Linked DNA regions of Oreochromis niloticus. The protein of the gene in region 3 interacts with the protein of the main gene of each other region in a biochemical or structural test. Links are inferred from orthologs where the notes say so. Each region holds a gene or a part of one and is shown on either strand. Other genes may lie near its edges.

Evidence for each region. The genes of interacting proteins can lie anywhere in the genome.
Region 1: the proteins of hdac5 (region 3) and zbtb16a form a complex in vitro, tested with the Homo sapiens proteins (2 studies listed by BioGRID). The link is inferred for Oreochromis niloticus from reciprocal best matches to the Homo sapiens genes HDAC5 and ZBTB16.
Region 2: of the proteins of hdac5 (region 3) and sik2b, one has a biochemical effect on the other in vitro, tested with the Homo sapiens proteins (2 studies listed by BioGRID). The link is inferred for Oreochromis niloticus from reciprocal best matches to the Homo sapiens genes HDAC5 and SIK2.

Annotation. Positions count from the first base shown.
Region 1 is NC_031975.2:24,768,580-24,776,234, reverse strand, and holds the start of zbtb16a (zinc finger and BTB domain-containing protein 16-A), read left to right. Parts: upstream 1-4,641; 5' UTR 4,642-4,831; intron 4,832-5,090; exon of another isoform or gene 5,091-7,655. UniProt on the Homo sapiens protein: Acts as a transcriptional repressor. Transcriptional repression may be mediated through recruitment of histone deacetylases to target promoters. May play a role in myeloid maturation and in the development and/or maintenance of other differentiated tissues.
Region 2 is NC_031979.2:21,141,101-21,147,991, forward strand, and holds the start of sik2b (serine/threonine-protein kinase SIK2), read left to right. Parts: upstream 1-3,877; 5' UTR 3,878-4,304; coding exon 4,305-4,442; intron 4,443-6,891. Other genes in the region: laynb (layilin), read left to right, coding at 504-581, 686-803, 912-1,239. UniProt on the Homo sapiens protein: Serine/threonine-protein kinase that plays a role in many biological processes such as fatty acid oxidation, autophagy, immune response or glucose metabolism.
Region 3 is NC_031969.2:4,477,313-4,484,573, forward strand, and holds the start of hdac5 (histone deacetylase 5), read left to right. Parts: upstream 1-4,261; 5' UTR 4,262-7,261. UniProt on the Homo sapiens protein: Responsible for the deacetylation of lysine residues on the N-terminal part of the core histones (H2A, H2B, H3 and H4).

The DNA.
Region 1 (7,655 bases), on a different chromosome or scaffold from region 3:
TGAGTTTAATAAGCTGTAGGTTTTAGGAAATGCTGTCCAGATAGCAGTAAAAATGCTGTTTACTTTCAGTGGTTTAATAACACGGATATGATGTCTTGGTGGGTATTTACACGAGCACAACAGTTTAAGTGTGATTGACCTGAAATTAATTTCACAATCTGTGGTCATGGTAATGAGGCAAAATAATGCCATGTTTCCCAGCAACAACATGGCTCTATTATTTTTTAATATAAAATATATAAACATAATATTTCATTTATTTTGGGGAACGGCAAAGCTCTGTGGAACAGACAAATTAAAAAATATCAGACTTTGACCGCCGACTTCAGCTCTCGTCCTGTGGTTTGTAAGGACGTCTTTCTCTTAATAAACTGCACGTGCCCAGTCTGACTTGTTTTTCCTGAATCTGTGACATATTTTGTTTTTAATTTGGATCTAATTGCTCTAATTATTTTCAATATTATGGACCTGATCACATTCCTGAGTATGGTTTTGAACAAGAAAACTGATAATTAGCCAATCAGATTCAGGAGGACTTTAATCATCCCCAGAGGGAAACTGCAGTTGCTTAAGATTGTGAAGTTGTAAAATTTAGTAATAAGTTTTAATAATTGAAAATGAATGTAAAAAAAATACAATTTAATTCGGCAGCAAGAGGATGAAATGTGTGGATGGCCACAGGAGGTTCAGGGAAGTGTTTAGTCGTTATAACTCTGGGGGTGAACACACTTCTCCGGCTGGCCAGAACAGCGTGCGAAGGGTGGGAGAGGTTGTCCATGATGGAAAGGACTTTTGACATCTTTCTCTGTGCAGACTGGAGATTGTCCAGCTCCACCCCAGTGACTGACCCAGCCTTCCTGAAATGTTTTGGTTTCGTCCGTCATCAGGCTTTTGTCCAAGCAGACTACAGTGTAGGAAACGGACACCACAAACTCACAGGAGATCTGCAGCATGGTGCCACTTAAAATGAAAGTGTGGAGCCTTCACAGAAAAACAATCTTAGCCTTAGCGTACTGAAAAAACGAGTAATACTGCTTGTATGTGTTATTTTATTTCCATTTGTCTGTTTTTGTTGTTTTAACTGGTTACTTTTCTCATTTTATTTCACTGTGCTCTGTAAATCTCTCTGTAAATGTGTATATATGCAAAAATTATTACTCTTACTCATGATTATATTCATCCTGGATCTCCTCGTCTCCTTTATTTGCTGATGTTGAGTTGCACCATCCTTTGATATTTCCAAAAAGCATACCATGTATGTATATTAGCTGTGCACATGCATTTATTTTTATTGAAAAGCACTAAATAAGGATTTTCATTATTACTGATCACCTTCTTTTACCAAAGCAAACAACGGTAGAGTGAGCTGCAGTATATATCTGGATTGCAATGGAAACCTGTGCAGCCCAGATAACCCGCCACTGAATCACACCGGAGCCCCTATTAACTCAGTGACATTTAATGATCCCATTCGGAACCAAAACTTCCTCCAGGCAGCCCATCTTTTTTCTAACTCTTGGTATTTTTTTTTAAAGTGTAGTGATGATCTGGTTTTTATAATTTAGCCCACATCTTCCTTCCCCTCAGTAAAATGGTGGATTATTGCCAGATTAAGGGAGTGCCTTTTTCTTTATCCCTGGGTAAGCCTGCACAGCACGCAGCTCAGAGGTAATGAAGCACTCTGTGATCCGTGCCCGGATGAATCTAAAAATTCCCAGAGCACCACTGTATTTTAAAGGAAATGAGATTTCCCTGAAAGCCTCCGAACCTATGCTTCCCATTTTGAAATGGCTATAAACTGTGGGACTGCTTACAACCTGGTGCAAGAACCTCGACTTGTTGCTGTTTTTAAAATCATTTCAATAAGCACGAAGAGGAAGTTTGACATTGTAACAAATACTGCCGAGGAAGTGTTTGCTTTCTTTGCCTGAGAAAATGATAGCGATTACTAATTCCAATTGAGTCCGCTTATTTTTCAGTCTGACATTTAAATCTACAATTGCCGTGACCTTTACTGACCACCTGTTCAGTCGCTACTAAAAGATTTCTGACAGGCGGTTTATTAAAGCATCCTGGTGTTTTTACAGTCCAGCGGCTGATCCGTGAGGGTGACTGTCACAGGTACTGAGTCATTTATGTGAGTAGGAAACAAAAACTGAAATTAGAACAAAAAAAAATCTGGTTGAGCAATACAAAGCAAAAGTCATCAGCTGTCTGGGAGTTTGAACAGGAATAAAGTTTCTATGTTACCCAAGACTGTCATGCAGAACTGAAATGCTCGTCTGTTGCTGGTGGCTCTGAATGACAGTCCAAAGACATTTTAGTCAAATCTATCATCTATTAAAAAAAACTAAAGAACACTCTTGATCAGTTTTTATGCCTTGGCTATGAGGCATCTTTTGTCATTTTTGTAAATATTAATGATTATCTTTTTCTTTCCTCTGGAAACCATAAGGCTGCTGTCAGACACTGACTGATAGAGGATGCCGAGTGATCTGTTGCAGACACCGAGGGACCCCGGTCTCCCCGAGAAAGTCTACTCTGACCTGACTCGTCCATTGCTTCAGTTTTATCAGCTTCAGTCAGTTGAGTGTTGATGTGAGCCTGAGGTGCGAAGGTGACCAAACTCATCACGCTGGATGATTTGGCCCTCCCAGCTTTTTTGGCCTTACAGCCGTTGTGTTGTAAATGGTTCTTCTTTAAACTGCACCACTTTGCAAAGGTTCGGTTTAGTAGGATTTTAAACTGACGGACTTTTACTGGTAAAAATATTCCATTCTACCTCAAACAATATGCATTCCTTAACCACTGAACAAATATATATAAATTTCAACTCATTTAACCCCAAAGCCATTATATTTATGCACTTTGTTAACAGAATAGCTGATAATAAATGTTTGTCATTCAAAATAACAGTTACAGTTATTTTGGAATCACACAGATTACATATGTCTGCATAGAATTATGTGCCATGATGGTGAAATATTTCATTTGTTGCTTGTAATCTTTAACCCTCTTAAAGCAGTAGATAAAAAGTTTGCTAAAGTTTTTAACAATAAAAGAGAAAACAAAACAAGGGCTGGGGAACATAAATGTTTGCACAAATGGATAACTTGGATAAGGATTTATGTACACATCATGTCCATTCTCTCAACTTCCTTCTGAGTTACGGGCAATTTTTATTTGTGACTTTAGGAAAGTAAGAGCTCTCAAGAAGCACTTAAAGGCAACGTAACAGCAAAAATGAAAATATACTGACATAAAACCGAGGGTAAAGGATCGCCACTAGACGGTGATCATCATTAGGGCAAAACCATCTATCAAATTTATATCGAGAAAAGAGCCAAATTATGCTTTTACAATAGAGAGTTTTATCAAGCCAAACAATTATGAGGTGAGCTGCACACTGCATCGCTTGTTATAGGTCAATGGAAAAAAAGAGGAGGATAAAAACAATCCAGGGCTGGTAATGCACTACAAAACCATTTGGCTGAAAGTCATTCACTGCACTGATCATTTAGGATGGATTTTTATAAAACAAGAAATTAGCTGGCCCACAGCTGCATGCGTAGCTTTGTTTCTCCAGTGGTTTCCTTCCTTCCTGTTGTCAGTATTTTAAAACAAGAGGGGATCTAAGACTCAAGCGTATGAAAATTACTTCTATAAAATCACTGAAATCAGATGCAGATCTTGGATATATTTAATCACACTGAATTGTGAGCACATTCAGAGTTTTGTTGACAGTGACTGACACTTCCATGTCTATTAACCCTTTTTTTCCTCTTCAACATAACATTTGAACCATGTTGTGGTTAAATGTATTAAACTCTGGTTTAGGTATACCCATTTTTCAGACGGCCATTTACTTTGGATAGTTATAAACTTTATTCTAGCCATTACACAGTTAAATCGTGAGTATTATAATTCTGCACGGACCTAAAAATCTCCCCAGTTTCTTTAATATTCCACTATAAAATTTGTTAATGACAACAATAGTGGTGTAGTGGTTTGAATTCAGGATTAAAAAAAATAATAATTTAAAGAGTAGTTTGTAAAATGATAGAAGTGGGAGGATAGGATAGGAAGCTGGAAGCACTAATATCACAGAATATTGATGTGAAACTACATCATTGCCAGGAACACAAATAATGAAATTATAATGTGTTTTGCTTTCTGATTGTAGGTCATCAATTCACGGAACACGATGTTACTTTTTAAGAAAATAGAAATAAAGCCTTTGCTTGAATCATTTCTTCGTTTGTTTGTTTGTTTGTTTTTTTGGGGGGGGGGGTACACTAATTGTGTGCCAGACAGCACAGCTACACAGCTTCATCGCTCCTTTGCACTAACCCCACAGTCATACCTGTCCCTCTGCTACACCAATTTTTGAACCGATATGAATGGAGTGAAAATATTAGAGGGGGGTTTTTAGGAGCCCCTCTTCTTGAGTTTCCCTCCTGTAACGCCGAACCCATAGGTCAGCTCCTGGCTCGAGTTAGAGAACAACCGCAGGCTGTGTGTGCGTTCAGGAAGCTGGAGAGAGGGCAGTGTCGCTCACCTTTCACTGCCATACTGTAACAGGCGTTTGACATGAGACAGCCCCCTAGGTGTCTCACTTTCTCAGTGTTTGTATGGACTGGAGCGCAGCGCCGGCTGCCCGCCTGCCTGCTGCTCGTCTGACTGGCTGCGTTGACGTCAGCGCCGTGTTGATTTGCTAAGGCGAGAGAAGAAAGGACTTAGTGCATGTTCTGAAAGCGGGTACTGCGAACTGCCTTACTATGCTGTAGCCCCAATCCCCCTGCACTATCCGGAATCAAAACGTGCAACTTAGGTGAGTACCAATCCGGGCTAAATGCAGCTGCAGTTTCCCGGCGACAAGTGCCAGACCCGCTACTCTGCATGTGTCTACCACTGTTTTCTTCGCGTACTTTCATTCACCATATGGATGTTTTGATGTGTTTATAGTGCTGAGGATCGGCTTTTTTAATGCGTGTCCCCGTTCAACCTCACGCTGAAGTTGACTGCAAACGCGACTTTGGCATGCGAGTTGGACTTGCGCACCGGAGTTCTGGATGAAAACAAGTGTTTACCTGATTGCGCTGCAAGGTGTTGAAGTTTGCATTAACGCACTGTAGCTCAGTGTAGAGATGTTAATGTTGACGTAACCCCCCCTTCTTCTTCTCGGGCTCGTTAGTATTCTGGAGATCGCAGTCAGAGGACGTGAGGTCTGGCTGTTTCACGGGGAGCCAGACAACATATGACGCCTCGCTGCGTGTGACTTTGAAATCGCGTTAGCTTGTTTTGGTGGAAATTTTGCCCATATTTTTTTTTTTTTAAGACGGCGACACTCATGCTTGTCCTTGTGTCTCCAGACGCACCAGCGTGGCTTATTTAGCCGTGATGACATCATGATGGGGGACTGGAGACACTGGTTTTTACACACGAAACAACCGTAAATCCAGTCACTGTACAGGCGCACTGCAATTGATTGACAGCCAGCTAAATGTTTGATTGGTTACCAATAATCGGCTCGCCGTAGCACGCGCAGCACACTGTGAGGTGGGGGAACTGGTAACAGATGCGATGGCAAATTGATTTGTTATCGAGTGTGTCTGATCTCTCTCTTCCCCTTTCACTCTTTTTTCCTCTTTATCCCTTAGGCAGCTTTCCCGAGACCAAACCCCCCTTCTTTCTCCTTCACTGTAACAAGGTAGCGCTACAGTGTTCATCCTGCCTCAAAGTCCACCTGTGCGTTGATCAAATGAGAGCTGGCTCAAATCGGAGACCCTTGCCTGCCGTCTGTGTCGCGTGTACTTTTTTAGCAGGCACCGGTGTCTGTTTGCCCCCCTCCCCGTACCATTTTGATCTCTCCGCGTTTGTGTCTGTCAGTGTGGCTCATGGTCTGGAATATTGAACGCTGTTTATTCTTGTTGTGGCTGGCTCGTCAAGGCGCGCTATGGCAGACAACTCGTGATCAGATTGATTATGCTGCCTCTCTGTGAAGTCGGCGTGATGTGGTTATTGTCAGCGGTCCATATCGTTCTCCGGGGAGGAAATCTCTCCAGGCTTAATGTACTTAATGTAGTACGTGATGTTTTGCGTAACGCATAATGTTGTGTATAATTTGTCTGGTGCGTCTGGCTAAAATTAACGCCGTCTAGACGCACGCAGCCTTTTTCCTTTATTAATAGAAAACAGACAAAGTCCCCAGACAGCAACTTTACATCCCAGTGAAGCCACAGTTTAGTTGATAACCCACAGAGTGCAACAAGCATTGATCATTTACGGGGCCATAAATCGGCGCTATTGGCATACCTGCAATAAAGATAATGTCGGGTTTTAGGCATGATCTCTGTTTACTGAGAGGCTAATTTCAGTTAGAGGAGAACCTGTGGTTTTATCATTACCTACATTCTACATCGATTTTTGTCAAGGTACGGAAAAGACAAACCGCCCAGTGCCCCAAAAGCCGGGAGAATTATTTTCCGTGACTCTCAGCACTAACAATAGGTGCAGCATCATTTACCCCCTGAATATTCAGATTCAGTGTGTTTAGATCATCTTATTTATATATTATAGAAGGTTTGGCAAGAAAAGGAAACCTTATCGTTTTTTCAAGGTTTATTTTTCCTTTTCAGATGATGTTTCTTCTTTCTTCCTTTTCTTTCTTTCTTTTTTTCTTTTCTTTTTTTTTACAGGTGTGAAGGAAGGGAAAGAGCTGCCCAAGTTGTCTTTTTATTCCCTGTTTCATAATCTTTAAAAATGAATTTGAAGATTATTATTAATAAAAACAATAATAATATTACAAATTTAGACAGCGTGTCACTTCTCACCAGACTTCATCTGACACACTTTGTCATTTGTCATAAGCCTGACGTATTCACTCTTCAGAGAACCTAAAAATTTGCCCTCAGAGAGCTTTTGTAGGTCAAAGGCGACACTAATCTGGTGACCATTCCTGCTTCACTTGGAGTAGGTGCAGTGGCAAATAACTGTTTAGTTAATTGGGACAATGAAGAAGCAGCATAGTTCAGTGTTAAACTGAATGTAGTGGTGAATCTGTGTATGCAATCTAAGCCAGCTTTAATTATTTTTTTGGTGCAGGTCAAAGTATAGGGTTGTGGGAGCGTGTTGCGTTGTTAACTTCAGTAATCAGGTTAACAGGAGTAGGAGGAGGACAAATTTGCGATTTTCAACATTAGCGACTGGGAGCTGTGTTTGGTACAGCAGTGTTGTGTGCTTTTTGCCTCATCCTGCTTTCCTTTCCACCCATTTCTGGCCGCTGCTCTCTGCTCCCGTCTGTGATGAGAATACTGAGTAAGATGCTATTTAATTTCAGAAAGGCTGCTGATGGTCTTTGTGAAGCGAGCGGCAGTGAAAACCCACAATTCACACTTGTTTAACTGGTGTACATACCGATTAGATAACTAAATGAAGACATCTTTTTAACGTAACATATGTTGGACTGATTGGTATGCAGGTTGAGCATGTTGGATGGCTCACAAATTGTTTCCCTTCAGAAATCTACAGTCAATACTCTCTGCTGAATTTAAGAACAATGCCACTGAGCGGAGTGTTTACCACCCTGGCAGGATATTTGCAATTGCCTCACATTTGCCATTTAGAGAGAGAGAGGAAGAGGTGGTATGTTTTAA
Region 2 (6,891 bases), on a different chromosome or scaffold from region 3:
AACATGGTAAATGGGCTGGATATTTATACTACATGCGTCATTCACCCATGCACACCTATTCATAAATCACTTTTTTCTACTCATAAATCCTTTCTAGCTAAATTTCACACACATTCATACTCCGATAAATGCGTTGGGGAGCAACCTGAGGTTCAGTATCTTGCCTAAGCATATTTGGTATGCAGACTGGAGCAGCCAAGGATCCAGCCACCAACCATATAAAGATAAAACATGAAGAACACACAGATACAAAACGTATTCTCTGGAGAACTCTATTTTTTTAACTGCTAAATTTTCTAGAAATTAAAATGCAACTGTCCTCTGCAGTAGAACATATGCGTCAGCTGTTATAGTCTATCTATGGGTGAGTTTAGTGAAATCATACATTATGTGATAACAAGATAGATAGATAGATAGATAGATAGAGATAAATTAGGGACTAATCGAATCATTTAAAATATTTTTCACACGCACCTGTTGATTTTGTTTTCTGGTTTCTCCAGTTCCATCTGTGATTCCAAGCATACTGTCAACCACAGAAAGTAACGAAAGGATAAAAATAGCACTACCTGAATCCTCTGGTAAGAAAGGAAAGAAAATATTCTTGATGCTCGGAGTCAGCGCAGTATGTTTTGGGAAACTATGAAAAACCACTGTGTCACAAGCAAAGTTCTTTTGTTCGCAGTATCTTTCTCTGGCAACACCCTCAACATTTCCTACATCCTTTATGCAACTATCCCTGCGCTGCTGTTGCTGTTGTTTGCAGCTGCTGGTTTCTTTTGCTACAAACAGCATGCTAAGAGGTAAAACTATAACTATAAAAAGCTATGAGAGATTTTTTTTTTTTTAAATGCATTTGATTATATGAGTATGTCCTGTTGATTTTAACTTGGGCCCTCTTTCATATTTAGGAGGAAGACAGAAACAGAAAGCTATCCCAGCAGATCAAAACAGTGGGTGCTAGCAACAGCTTCATCTTGCCCTGTGCAAGGACCTTATGCCTACAGTGACATTACCAAACTGCCTCACACTGCTCTGGACAGCAGGATAGCAGCAGAAATCATGACAAAGTACTCCGGTTCTCCGTCCCATGACTCCCAGTGCAACGATTATGAGAATGTGTCGTGTGTGGACAATGAGAGCGGCTTTGTCACCAATGACATTTACGAGCCCTGCAGAGCTCAAAGCCGGCGCTGCCGCAGTCAGACTGGATGGGTGGAAAATGAGATCTATGGATAACACCGGTGTCTGCAAATGTCCGTCAACCACAGACAGACTACAGTTACACTGTGCGGTGCAGGATTTCTAAGCAGCTTGGCCATATCTGCACAGGTTTCACTCAGTTTTCTAGTCCTGCATGTAGAATGTACTGTGTCTGCAAATCAGTGTATTCCATAAAACAGGGATTCTTAATGTTTTGTCCATGACTCAGTATTCACCTACACATGACTTTATATTTCTGATGTTTTAATAAAAATGTGTTACAGTCAGACCAATGGCACTGTTAGCTCCGTGAATCACTGTGATAGCATGCTGATAGATGTAGACACATTGTTTTCCATATTCACCATCATAGTATGGATGCCCAAAATTGCAGACTAGTTCCACACACTAAATAAAGCTGAAGCTAATCGAATCTGATTGAAAAAGAAAAGGATGAGAAGTTAAAGGACTGCCAAAGTGATTCTGAAGAGGGCACGGATGTGTGTATACAATTTCATAGTAATCCATCCAACAGCTGTTGAGACCCTTGTTGTAATCCACTAATCTTATAGTGGCATTACTACATTACAGGCTATGCACTGAAATGCATAGGCTGGAAACTGCAAAAATACAAAACCAAATCATGTCATAAAGGTTCCAATATTTCATAAGGTTAATGAAAAGTGGGTGAAGATATTACAGAAAAGTTCAAGTGGAATATCAAAAGCATTAGTCTATTTATTGTCTGGGGAGAATGCACAAATTTTCAAGGCAAATTTTGGTCCTGTATTAAAGTAATTCAGGCTAAAGAGGCAGGCCATCTGATAGACTGCTGATAATGCTGTCCTTAAAAATTGTGTTATATTTTAAGTTAACTGAATAAATGGTAAGATCAATTCATCAAGCAGCTAAAGATGTAGGTCATGTACAGGTCTCTAAGCTAAACTAACGGAATGGGCTTTGAGTAATTTTTTATGTTTCAACTCAAAGAAAAACACGTTTTTGTGCCCACTTATTTCCTTTGTTCAGTTTAAACCTTCAGCTCTAATAAATTATGCAACATTACAGCAGCACTAAAGTTCTTAGAGGTTTTAGGAGGCATTAATGAAACCAAAGAAGCATTAATAGTTCAGGTCAGCTTGGTGGTGCAGCAGTGCTGCTGAATCTGACATAACAGATTATGCAATTAGCCTAATCCTGTAATATTGCACCCCCACAGGGTTACTCATTTTGTAAACAATTGTACATTAAACTACTCAGCTTCTCTTTTTAAAATAATGTCAATGGATATGATGAGTCAGAAGACAGAGAGGGTTTGCGTGTTGGCTTGCTGCTGTGATGGAGACTCCAACCCAGGGACTTTTTTGACCTTTTCTCTAAACTTGAACTTTGGTGTCATCCCTGTGTAAGGCTTCCTGTTTGGTCTCTGATGTCAGAGCCCAGCAGAGAACATGAGGAAACACCGATGGCTGAACTGCTGTGGCCAAAATAAACCTCAAAGTTGTGCGGTTTCCTGACTCCACCTGATTGTGCACGAGGTTCAACTTTCCCACTGATCTGACAGAAACTTGAGGCCAGTTTAGAATATATCACACCGTTAATCAATGCATGTGCATTTCCATGTTCATTTTTAAAGATCACTCTTTGCGTTACGTATACAAATGTCTGTGTTTTTTTCTAAATGTGCACCGAGTGGGTGTTGGATCGGTGTCTTGGAAAGATGTAGCAAGCCCAGTAAGGAGAGGCTGAGTGTGTTCTTGGAGAATGTTAGACAGGAAATGCCAAAAGCACATCTGGAACTCTTACATTCAGGAAGTCGATGCGTGACAGCGGAGGCCTTTGGAGCACTGCTCTGCCTGCCTGCTTAGCAATCCACTGTTCTGTTTGACTGTCACTACACAACATGAAGAAAAGCAGTGCCAGTTGCAGAGCTGTGCTGCAATTCAGACATGAAGATAGTTTCTTTTTCTGATGTGTAGTTAAGATATTTTGGCTGCATTCTTTGTTTAATAATAATATAGATATACTGGTGGGATCTGCTTGAAAGCTGCTTGAAAGCATGAAGCGTGATAAGTCAAGCACTGGGGAAAAGGAAAATATGGAGCCTCGCTTCAGTTTTCTACTTTTGCCAACAGATGGTGCTGTCATGTAGCTGACAAAAGTTTCTTTGTGGCTGATAAAATGTCTGATTTTATATGAGGCTCTGTGTATTCCATTATGTAATGTTATAGATTAGAAATGCAGTTGCATAGCTGGATTAATCAGCTACACACACACACACACACACACACACACATATATATCTATATATATATATATATATGTATGTATATATATAAAAGCAACACTAGCTGTTTGTTTGGTTTTTTGCTTCTTAAATTATTATTTTTTACTTTTTTTTGCAGACCCCACTCTGGAGGCTTTCAGGCCGGTTCAGACCGCTTTTAGCTCCTGTCTCCCCCTGCATTTTTCACTCGCAGCCGACAAAAGCTTATTAAACACCTGCAGGGCAAAAACTTCAAAGTTACCTATGCGTGCAATCAAGAAGGGCAGGCGAGCAAACAGATTTCAGAATAGCAATTTTACCGGTTGACGTAAGAGGTGGGTCTGGTTGTCCTGGCAACCAATTGGCACTGAAGTGTGGAGCGGCTCGGTGGCCCCGCCCCCTGTACAAATACCCCTATGGCTTTGACGTCAATACACGTCAACCGGAGAACATGATGCCTCTTTGCAAGTCAACTCGTGTGCTCTGTCGCTGATAGAGGCGCCTCAAGCTGAAATATTATAGCTCTATTGTACTGAAGAACGTGGTGTGACAGCCCGCGGGCTCAGCAAATGGCCAGCTTCGTATCGCCACACTAGCGGACAGGGTCGCCACAGTCGCGTTCAGGCGGCCGAGGGCGACACAGAAATCAACTTTGTGTATTTTTAATGGACACGCTTCGAGCGGCGGCGGTGGCAGCAGCGGCGGTGGCGGGCGGTTTGTTTTCCTTTCGTCTTTATCTCGAGCTGCTCAAGTAAGCCCCAGTCTGCCCCTCGTGTGTCCCTGCACGTCTGGCTGCCTCCTACTCTTCCACTGAACAGTCCCGTTTTAGAACAGCATGGTCATGGCTGACAGTGTCCAAAAACCGCTGATCCGGGGTCCGGTCCGAGTGGGCTTCTACGACATCGAGCGCACTTTAGGAAAGGGCAATTTCGCTGTGGTGAAGTTGGCCCGACACCGCATAACCAAGACGGAGGTGAGTGTGTGAGCAAACTAGTTAGCCCGAAAGCTAACTTGTGCTACTGTTTTAGCGGAGTTATATAACTTTTATGCACAAGTTGACACCCCTAGATAGCGAAATGCTCTCCAGCACCGTGCACTAAATAGCATCTTTGGATCATATAACTACCGGCCACTTGGACTGCTCCGGTTCGAGCAACAGCTGGTGTGCCTGAAAGCTTGCAGGTACAGGAGCAGTGAATGACTGCACGTTCACCCCTCTCAGCTGACATCACTGCCAGTAAAAAAAAATAAATAAAAAAAAGGTCTGACCACTAGAGCTGCTGGGAAACACAAACTGTAAACATGCATGCTTTATTATTATTTTTATTTATTTGTTTTTCTGCACATGCATCCGTTTGGTTAATGACCCAGACGGCAGCCACAGTGTACCTACTCAAGAGTGACTGGTGCCGTATCTGGGGCATGCAGCATGGGTCGGTGGTCCCCTTATGTAATTCAAGTAATGATGTGATTTTTTTTTTATTTTATTTTTTTAGTTGTTTCTTATCTCAACACTGCTCAGAGCTTTGTGATGAGCAGGGTATGTCATGTCAGATATGCTGTAATTGGAAAGCAAAGTATTTTGCATGCACTGCTTTTTAGGGGGGTGGGGGTCGAGGGTCTTAACTAAGCTTGGAGTGATATTAGAAACATTGCACACTCTTAGGCAATGCAGCATGAGTGCAGAGGGAACAGGGCTCGGGGTTTGTTTGAGTTTACTTCTGGGTTTATGTCAGCTTTGTGCAGAAGGGCCCTTTCTCAACCAGTACCACGGAGTGCCACGACTTTCTGCTGTAATGACAGAGACACAAGGAATTTGCTGTAAAGGGTGTTCAGTTAGAAAAAGAAAAGGGGGCAAAGGAAAAAAATAAAATAAAAGCTGTATTGTGTGAGACAGTGATAAGACTGGAGAGCTGCTGCACACTTTGATCTCTGGAGCCTCCAACTGATTACACCGTACAGAAAAAAACAAAGATTTACATCATCCAGGCGAGACCCTTGGTAGGTTTAATGAATAACAAGGCAACAAAATGGCTCTGTAGACTCTTATCTTGTTACTCTGGTTATTAAAGCACGCAAAGTGGCACAGCATTAGTCTAGCCAGGTAATCTGCACCGTGTAACATTAACAGCTCTGTGAATGCAGGTTTTAATTTCAGGCAAACGTTACACCAGGTGATTTCACTAAGCGACTACACCTCTCCCTCAGCTGGAGTGGTATTAAAGATGAATGAAAACATGGGTTGTTTTTTAGGCTGGGTTTGGCAGAGGTCACTCAGTGATGGTCAGTACGGAGAGCGAATGCAGCTGCCTAGCTCTGGCAGTGGGCCTGGCACTGTTGTTTTTTTAATTTTTTTATTTTACAGCAGCCAAGGTCAGCCGGAGTGGCAGGCTATTAACTTATGTGATGCCATCTGCCTTGAGAATTTGCCCGGGCACAAGTGATATTAGCATAGTGTAAAGAAAACCAGTGTACTGACACATGAAACAGCAGATGTGGTGCGACGATGTGAATGTGTGGGCATATTCCCGGACAGGTTTATCTCTGTGTAAATAACCTACTTATTCTGTGCGTGGCCCCTGCATGTGATACTGACCCATTCATCCCAGTAAGTACATATTGCAGCTTGTGGCTTTACATACTGTTGAGCCATTCCCTTCTGGTCTTGTGTGTCAGCTCAGCAAGTAGTACATCAATCCATATCTGATTATAGCGTCATCATGTCTTTCTGCTTTCATTGTATGAGCTAAATTCCCCTCTAACTCATTGTCCTCCAGTGACCTTGTGCCAGCACAGTTCATGAGAAGTCTTATGTGCTGTGTGTGGGTTTAGTTTTGTTGACAATGTAATCAGCTAGCACAGATCTTTTCATGTTAGGTGCTCTGTTGTCCCTCTGTAGCAGAACAAAGATTTTGAATCTCATGCTCGAAGGGTCTGCACAGGTAGCTGGAGTGCCATTAAAAGATTTCAATTTAATCCTGAATTGAACACCTGCCTGTACGTAGCTAGGGAGATGATAATGGAAAGTGTTAAACCTATCAAAATACCCATTGCTACTCATCTGTAAGTCCAAACTGTTAATATGTTAAAGGCAGGTCAATAAGTTACAGATCTGTCGTTAAAATAAAAAGCTGTGCTCACGCTCCGTGCAAGAGAATGCATTACATTTCCTTGACTTACTTGAATAATACCGCTTCACTGACACAGTGGGCTTGAACCTAAAAAAAAAAATATGCAGTGCACTGTGATAGTCGATCACTGCAACTTTCCTGATGAAAATTTTAGTAATGTGAAAAGAATCTGCTGTTTATATGATCGTCACGCTACAGACAAAATGCCTGTGATAAGTGCCCGGATGAAAATCCAGTGTCAGACAGTATTATTTTGGAATCAGATAAATCCTCAAACCACATGACTCTGTA
Region 3 (7,261 bases):
AAGTCTTCTTCAAACAGCATGATATGTAAATAGTTAACATCATTGGTCCTGAATCCTGGAAGCGTAAAACTGCCCAGTTTGGACTGGTGAATGTTCTTATTGCTAATGTTGGATTCATTTTTTCATACAGTGTCTGTGTTTAATGTGTCAAAGTTCTAAGCTCCCTGATAAATCCATATGAGCAATGCAAACTTTGGCCTTGTTCTTGTGGTTGGGTTACTGTGCAGTGTGATTTTGTTGTTGCGCTTTGAGCTCAGGTCAATTATACTGAGCGCTGGCTCAATAAGGTGCTGAGTGCTGTGTAAACACTGTGAGTACGACTAAAAGGCTCGATGCTTCAGCAGCACTTTCTAGCAGATGTTTGGCTCATCTAAGCTGTCAGTATCAAAAGCAGTCATGTCATCATACTGTAGGTAGCTTTACTCCAGCTGCCTGACAGTGCTAAGTGTGTGTGACTTACTCCTGACTTACTCCAGACAAAGTGTCTGCGCAAAGACCTCTGCAGCTCGCTCTGTGCTTTATCTACCGTGTTTTCTCAAGTCAGGTCAAAATTTAGATTTGGCCAGGTCAGAACTGACAGCCCTGCAAGACTTGAGCTTATTTTATAGAGCTGTGTTGGTTTGAGAGCTTGTGCCATACTGGGCAGCATGTTTGTAGGTACATCTTGAACAGTTACTTTTACTGATTTGTATACTGGCTGTTGCATTAGCATAAGGAGCAAGCTAGATCCAGTTACAGAGTGTTACACTGTGTTTCATCCATCTGCACAACAATATACTGTGTGTGTTAAACATACAAAACAATACTGTGTTTACACCAGCAAAACAGACCTAGGAGGGGTGCTCCCATCCTCGTTTAGTATAACGGTGATAATATGCACATGTCACAGTATAGTGTATAATTACATCATGTTGGTTTTTGCCTTTGTTACACAGATATTGTGATGATTATTATCATCCACACAGATCAGAACACGTCAACCTGATCGTTTTCTACAGGAAATCGTAAAATACTTTTCAGAAAGAACGATTTTGCTCAGTTAGCCTTTTTCTTTCTGAGCTGCACAAACCCTCTGGAGTCAATCGACACCTCGCCCTGCTTATAGAACCTGCTCGGTCAGTGTAAATCATATAATCATCATTCACATTCATTGCATGAATACTAAGCAATGGTAAAGATCACCTAAGATATTAATTAGTTCCATTTGAAGCTATTTTTGCTAACATGCTAATGTTGCTACTTTAATGAACAAGTTTCCTGAAAGTGCATGCTCCTCTGAGTAAAATGAATGTAAATATTTTATTTGGTTGTCATTTAATAAAAGTGAATACATAACTGTTAGGGAACCTTAACAGCTGTGTTAAAACACAGCTTGTAGCTCAGTCTGTGCATTTGGTGGCTAGCATCGGTGTCAGTCTTTCATTACAGTAGCTAGTACAGTACAGTAGCGTGCCTCCACCAGTGTGTGAATGTGAGAGTGAATGAGTAGTGACATTGTAAAGCGCTTTGGGTGCCTTGAAAAGCGCTATATGAAATCCAATCCATTATTACATGAGTTACATGTTACATGATCGTCAGTTACATGTATGTAAATGCATTGTGTTGTGTTGCTACGTAAGACAGCAATAAATAATAATAACAACTTAAGTTTAATGATAATGATAATAACAACAATAGTAATAACTACACTACTACTACTTTCTTGTTCTACTACTGCTGGATATTAATAATTATACTGAGAATAAAAAGGAAAAAAGAAAAGACAAATAAAGCATTAATGAAAAGTTGAATGGATTGAAATATTGATAAAAGAGGGTCGGAAGTGGAACAAATGATGACCCTCGACACTGGTGATGACACAAGATGATCCTCATTGGGATTAATGATGGTGTTTTGGGGATGGGGTGTCATTCTTGGCCAGGTCAGCAGTATTTTGTTCTCTATTCAGTATACTTTATATTAAGTATAAAGTGTGTATAAGTTATTCTTATCTGCTTTTTTGAGACATCTAATGGAACAAAAACACATTTTGCACACACCTGTCATCCTGCCAGAGACTGTATTACTAAAAGTGGCACAATTACATGGTTGACTCGAGCGCTGATGGCAGTTAAAGTGCACGCCGCTTTTTTAAAAAAAAGTAAAGCTTAACAGTTGATGAGTTATGGTGCAGCTGTTGTACCGGGGAAAGTATGGGACTAATCCGTGGACAGATGATTATAAGTTGTATTGTAATAGCATTGTTCTAACGATGCACAAACAACACTAGTGCTATTTGTTAACTCAGAGCTGATATTTGGTTCTTTACCATCTTAGTTTTGCACATTATGAAAGAAATCAAAACTGAATGAGGATCTGATGGTACGGTCACCGGAGCAAGCTGCAAATCCAAAGGCGACCACAGCATTTAAATCATTACATTGTACAAAACATGCTAAATTGAGCATGTGCAGTCAAGTGAGAGTAGTTTGGGGTGAGAGATGATCTTTGAAAGGATGAAAAGTCATTTTCTTGAAATGTGCTTGCTTAATTTGTTTAGCTAGTGGAGTGTAACTTCAGTGTAGGGCCTCAAATCAAAACCTTGATTATTGAACAGTTTACAGTTATTGATTGATTATTTTATACACACATGCTCATTTCATTTTTCATTCATTGCTCATCTCGACTATAAACAAAAATGAAAACTCAGCCTTGACAATGACACCAGAGCATGCAGAAGGATTTATTAATAAGCCCCACGCCCCCGGTACCGGGGGCAAAAGGGAGGAGATCACGTTTAATCGGTTATAACGCCGGTTGAGAAATATAACTCCAGACATGTGTGGTATCCACAGAAACCTCAGAATCTCAGCTACAATGTCATATAAACCATTTCTACAACCACCAAACACACCGCAAACAAGCCGCGATTAAACGAGCAGTTACGTAATGCGCAGAAGTCCGCTAAACACGCAAACGAGAACCAGACAGTCTTCATGTAACCGGTTATAAATAGGCTGGCTAGCTTCCAGGGCTATCACTGCGTAAACACACGAAGTTTGACCACGATCGGACCAAAATTCACTGAATTAGCCGCAAAAGAAGAAAAAAATTAGGCGAGAATAAAATCTACTTCCTTTTTCTGTGTTCCAGTCTCAGTAACTTTGACACAGTAATATCCGCTTTAATATTTACACCTCTGATTAAATGTCCCAAGTGTTGGCTTCATTTTGATACAAAGATTGTAAGGACGGAGTTTGTAATTGCAGAGAAATAATCAATTTAATTGAGGCATTGCATTTTCCAGCAGGAAGCTCAGAAAACCCCTTGGGGCTCAAGAGGTTAATGCATATAATTTGAATGGCAGCAAAAATGCCAGTGTCATGGTGGTACGAGAGGAAAGGTGAGGGGGTCAGCACACGTGATAGAATTCATCCTCTGCACTATAGACTAAAGGTAGTAAATGGTGGTAATTGCACATGTGGAGAACTGACCATCATTGCTATTCCTATGTCAAGCTGCTAGCATGCTGGGAAAGAAAAGCATATATTAATATATTACAAGTCTCTGGCTGTCGTTGCAGACATGTGCTTTAACGAAAGTAATAAGTTTTTGAACACTTGTGAGTCATCCTCGTTTTACATCATCACTGGTAGGCGTATGTTTAAGGGCACTAAATGCTGGGACACATGACTTATGTCAGAAATCTGAGTGGACCAGGTTGGAGTCTTTAAATCGAGTTGCCGACAGTCCTCATGATTTTAAAAAATGCTTGATATTTGCTACTGATGGTGTTAGTCAGGTGAGGGAGACATTTTTCATTCACAGTGAATGTAACGACAGCTCTGACTCCTGCTTTGCTCCATGTGCTGGATCGCATTGGTTAACTTCGTTCGTGTTTGTATATGTGTGAGTAGTATGTACCTGTGCGTCCTTCCCACGGCTTTTTTGACAGCTTTGTCTTGGGACGAGTGATGGGGTGACTGACTGGCTGTAATTTGGTTGTCATGGATACAGATGTAGTAGATACACGCGCACACGAGCACGCACAGACAGCAGTGTGACTCCAGGGGTTGATGCGCCTCAAATAGAAACGCAGAGATGAGTCATCCGCCAAGCTGCTGCAGTACACACAAACACACACACACACACACACACACACACACTCACCTTTAGTAGATGTGTTTGGTATGTTAGACCACTGAGATGTCAGACATGTTGCCTGGACAGTCGCGTCCCTTTCACTTGCTACCATAAACACACGAAAGGCTGATTTTAAGGTAACAGCACAAGTCTTTAATAAATAATCATAGTGTTGGATAACAGAGCAGCAACACAGCAGCCTGTTCGGTGTGCAACAAGACAGGACACTTCAAATTAACTTTCTGTATTTACATTTTCTCCCTTTGCTGTGTATATAGTCTTTACTTGTGAGTCATACTGAGGCAGCCTTAGATCTGCTGGAGGACACAGGGAGCTGTTTACACAGGAGGTGAGGATGATGAGGGAGATGAAGGTGATGAGGAGGAGGTGGGATAGAAGTGATGATAAAATGATTCAAAGAAACATTTCTGGAAAGGAAACAGCAGCGACAGTGGTCAACGCAGAGATGAAAAGCAGACAAATACATGAATTAGACGAGTCCTGAGCTGGTCTGCTGGATTTGTTCGTCTGTTAAATGTATTATCACTGATTACACAGAGCTCGGTTTGTTCTCCTCTTTTGTTTTTCTAATCCTTGCACTCTGCATTTGCCAGCAGCAGAGACACCCCATTATATTTTGTTACAAGGACCAAAACCTATTCTTAATGTGTAGCTTCTGTTATGACTGAATGCTGAATGGAACAAACAAATACTATAAAGAGCAGTTTCAATGAATAATATCCACGCTGACAGCAAAGTGAGCCGTGTAGCTTCTAGTTACAAAGAAGTCTTTGCAGGATTCTCTCTGACATTTTTCTATTGGAAGTGAGGTGTTTGCGCAAAGTGATGTAGAAGACTGTTTCTTGTCCAGTCTTTTTTTTAAAAACCCCATCATGACACAATTTAAATACCTGATATTCCCATAGATAGGCTGACGTCCTTTTTTCTTTCAGACACACAAAACATGAAGAGATTTTCCTTGTTTCATTTGTAATGTGTAATACTAAACAGTGGCTTTAGACTACCTAAAGATACTATCTAAGATGATGTCTTTGATCAGTTGTGTCTATATGTGTAGACATGCTTGAATGGTCCAGTATAATTGAATAGGTCAGTGTTAAATAGTCTAACAAAAAAGCACTTCTCTGAAAACGGTCCAGTCAGGACGGGACTGAAAAATGTCGGAAAGAATAGAAGAAAAATTTTGACAGATCTTCTGAAGCCTGGAGAACGACTGCTCAGGATCAGAATATAAGAAAAAAAAAAGGTCTGGCTCACTGGAAGCAAAATGGGAAGAAATCAGAGGTGACTTAAGACTTATGCACAGTCTTGTAGTTATACTTAATTTAAATTCCATTTTGAAAATGACATCTTTCAACAAAATGTGAAAAACCTGTTGTGAGTTTGTGTCCAAAGCATCTTTGTATTGTGTTTAAGAGATTTTAACGGAAGCCTAACTAGATCTGGGCTGTACTTTCACTACCAGCTTTTAACCACAAGGTGGTGCAAGTGAGGCTGTGTACTCTTTGTTTAACCCAGCAAGTCCTTAAGACCACAGACGTATTGGCAGCCTGGCAAGTGGCAGATGCTCTTAAAGAAATGGTGGTAGTGAATAGGAAAAGTTAAGTAGCCATCAAATAATAACATCTTAATACAACCACTGGTAAAACACTGTTATAGCTAATTCAAACAAGTGTCTTAAAGGCTTCAACTTTTCTTTTCAATAAAAACTTGTTTAAGGGTTAAGTGAATGAAGCCTCACAAAAACAATGATTAACAATATTGTTAATGCAATTTAACAGCAAGTACAGCTTAAAGCTGCAGAACCATTTGCAGCACCAACCTGATGGTGGTACTAAATGGAACAGTTATCAGGATTCCTCCTCTGGGAGATATGAATGTTGGCCAATCCTTTGGCTGAATGTTGACATATTTTATTGGTCAGGTGGAGACTTTGGCCAGCTGGTGGCACTAAATGACCATTCAGCAGATGAGTAGGCTTTATCCTCTTGGCACTGTGGATGCCTGGAGCTGATATCACACTGCAATCTTACACTGACTGTGCCATCCCCCAGTGCCCGCCGCTAGTTAACATAAACACCTGCATGGCCACAATTTGTGCACCCAAAAAAAAGGGGGGTCGTGGACCTAGCAGAGCGAGAAGAGGTCCACAGTGCCCACCCACACTCTTTGATTGACATACAGTATTTGGCAAGCACAGCACAGAAACATGAAAGCACCCACCGCCACCCTCCCATCCCCACCCCAGAGCTGCAGGCTTACTGCTCCCTCCTTCTCTCCTTCTCTCCCCTCTCTCTGTCTATTTTTATCTCTAGCTCCTCCTCTACCCTGGCAGGCTATTTTCAGCACCGTTCCCCCACCCCAATCGCCTGTGTTTGTAAATGCTTCTCTTCTCTTCTCTTCTCTTCTCTTCTCTTCTCTTCTCTTCTCTTCTCTTCTCTTCTCTTCTCGTGTCCTTGCTCCCTCTCCCTTCTATGAAGTAAAATGAGCTGTTGTTGACTTTTCTCTGTATCCATCTAACTTCCTTTCCACCCAGTGATCTACTTTCAGCCTCTCTCTCGGTCACCCTCCTCCCTCTGTCTCCTGTCTCTCTGTCGACGTTCATTCAGTAGCTCAGTGAGCGTTTCTCACACACACACAGTCATCAGTGACTCTCAGTCAGTGAATATTAGCCGTCTGACCAGCAGCTGTTTGTGGTCGCTGTGTGGAGCTCCACTATCCTCTGTCCTCTGTCCTGTGATAAGAGGATAGCGTACCATCTCCTCTCCTGCTGCCCATTTTCTCAGTGAGGACTAAAAACTCGCCATCCCAGCGTTCTTCCATTTCCTTCTCTCTCTGTCATTCTCTCAGTGCTTCGTTCTAATTTTGGAAACATGGAACCTCGGGGAGCGCTCTCCCAAAGCTATTTACGTCCTTGCCTCTCCTCCTCCTTGCTCTCCTCCTCTTCCTTCTCTTCCTCCTCCCTCTCGTCAGCCAGGAGGAGAACAGCGTGAGGATTCTTTGATGCACACAGAGCTGGGGAATTCGGCTGCTCCTCTGTCTGTATTTTTATTGTGTTGACGAGGCTGCAGGAGCTCCTCTCGTCGGTCGCTCCTCGCTCTCACAGCCTGTGGGTGAC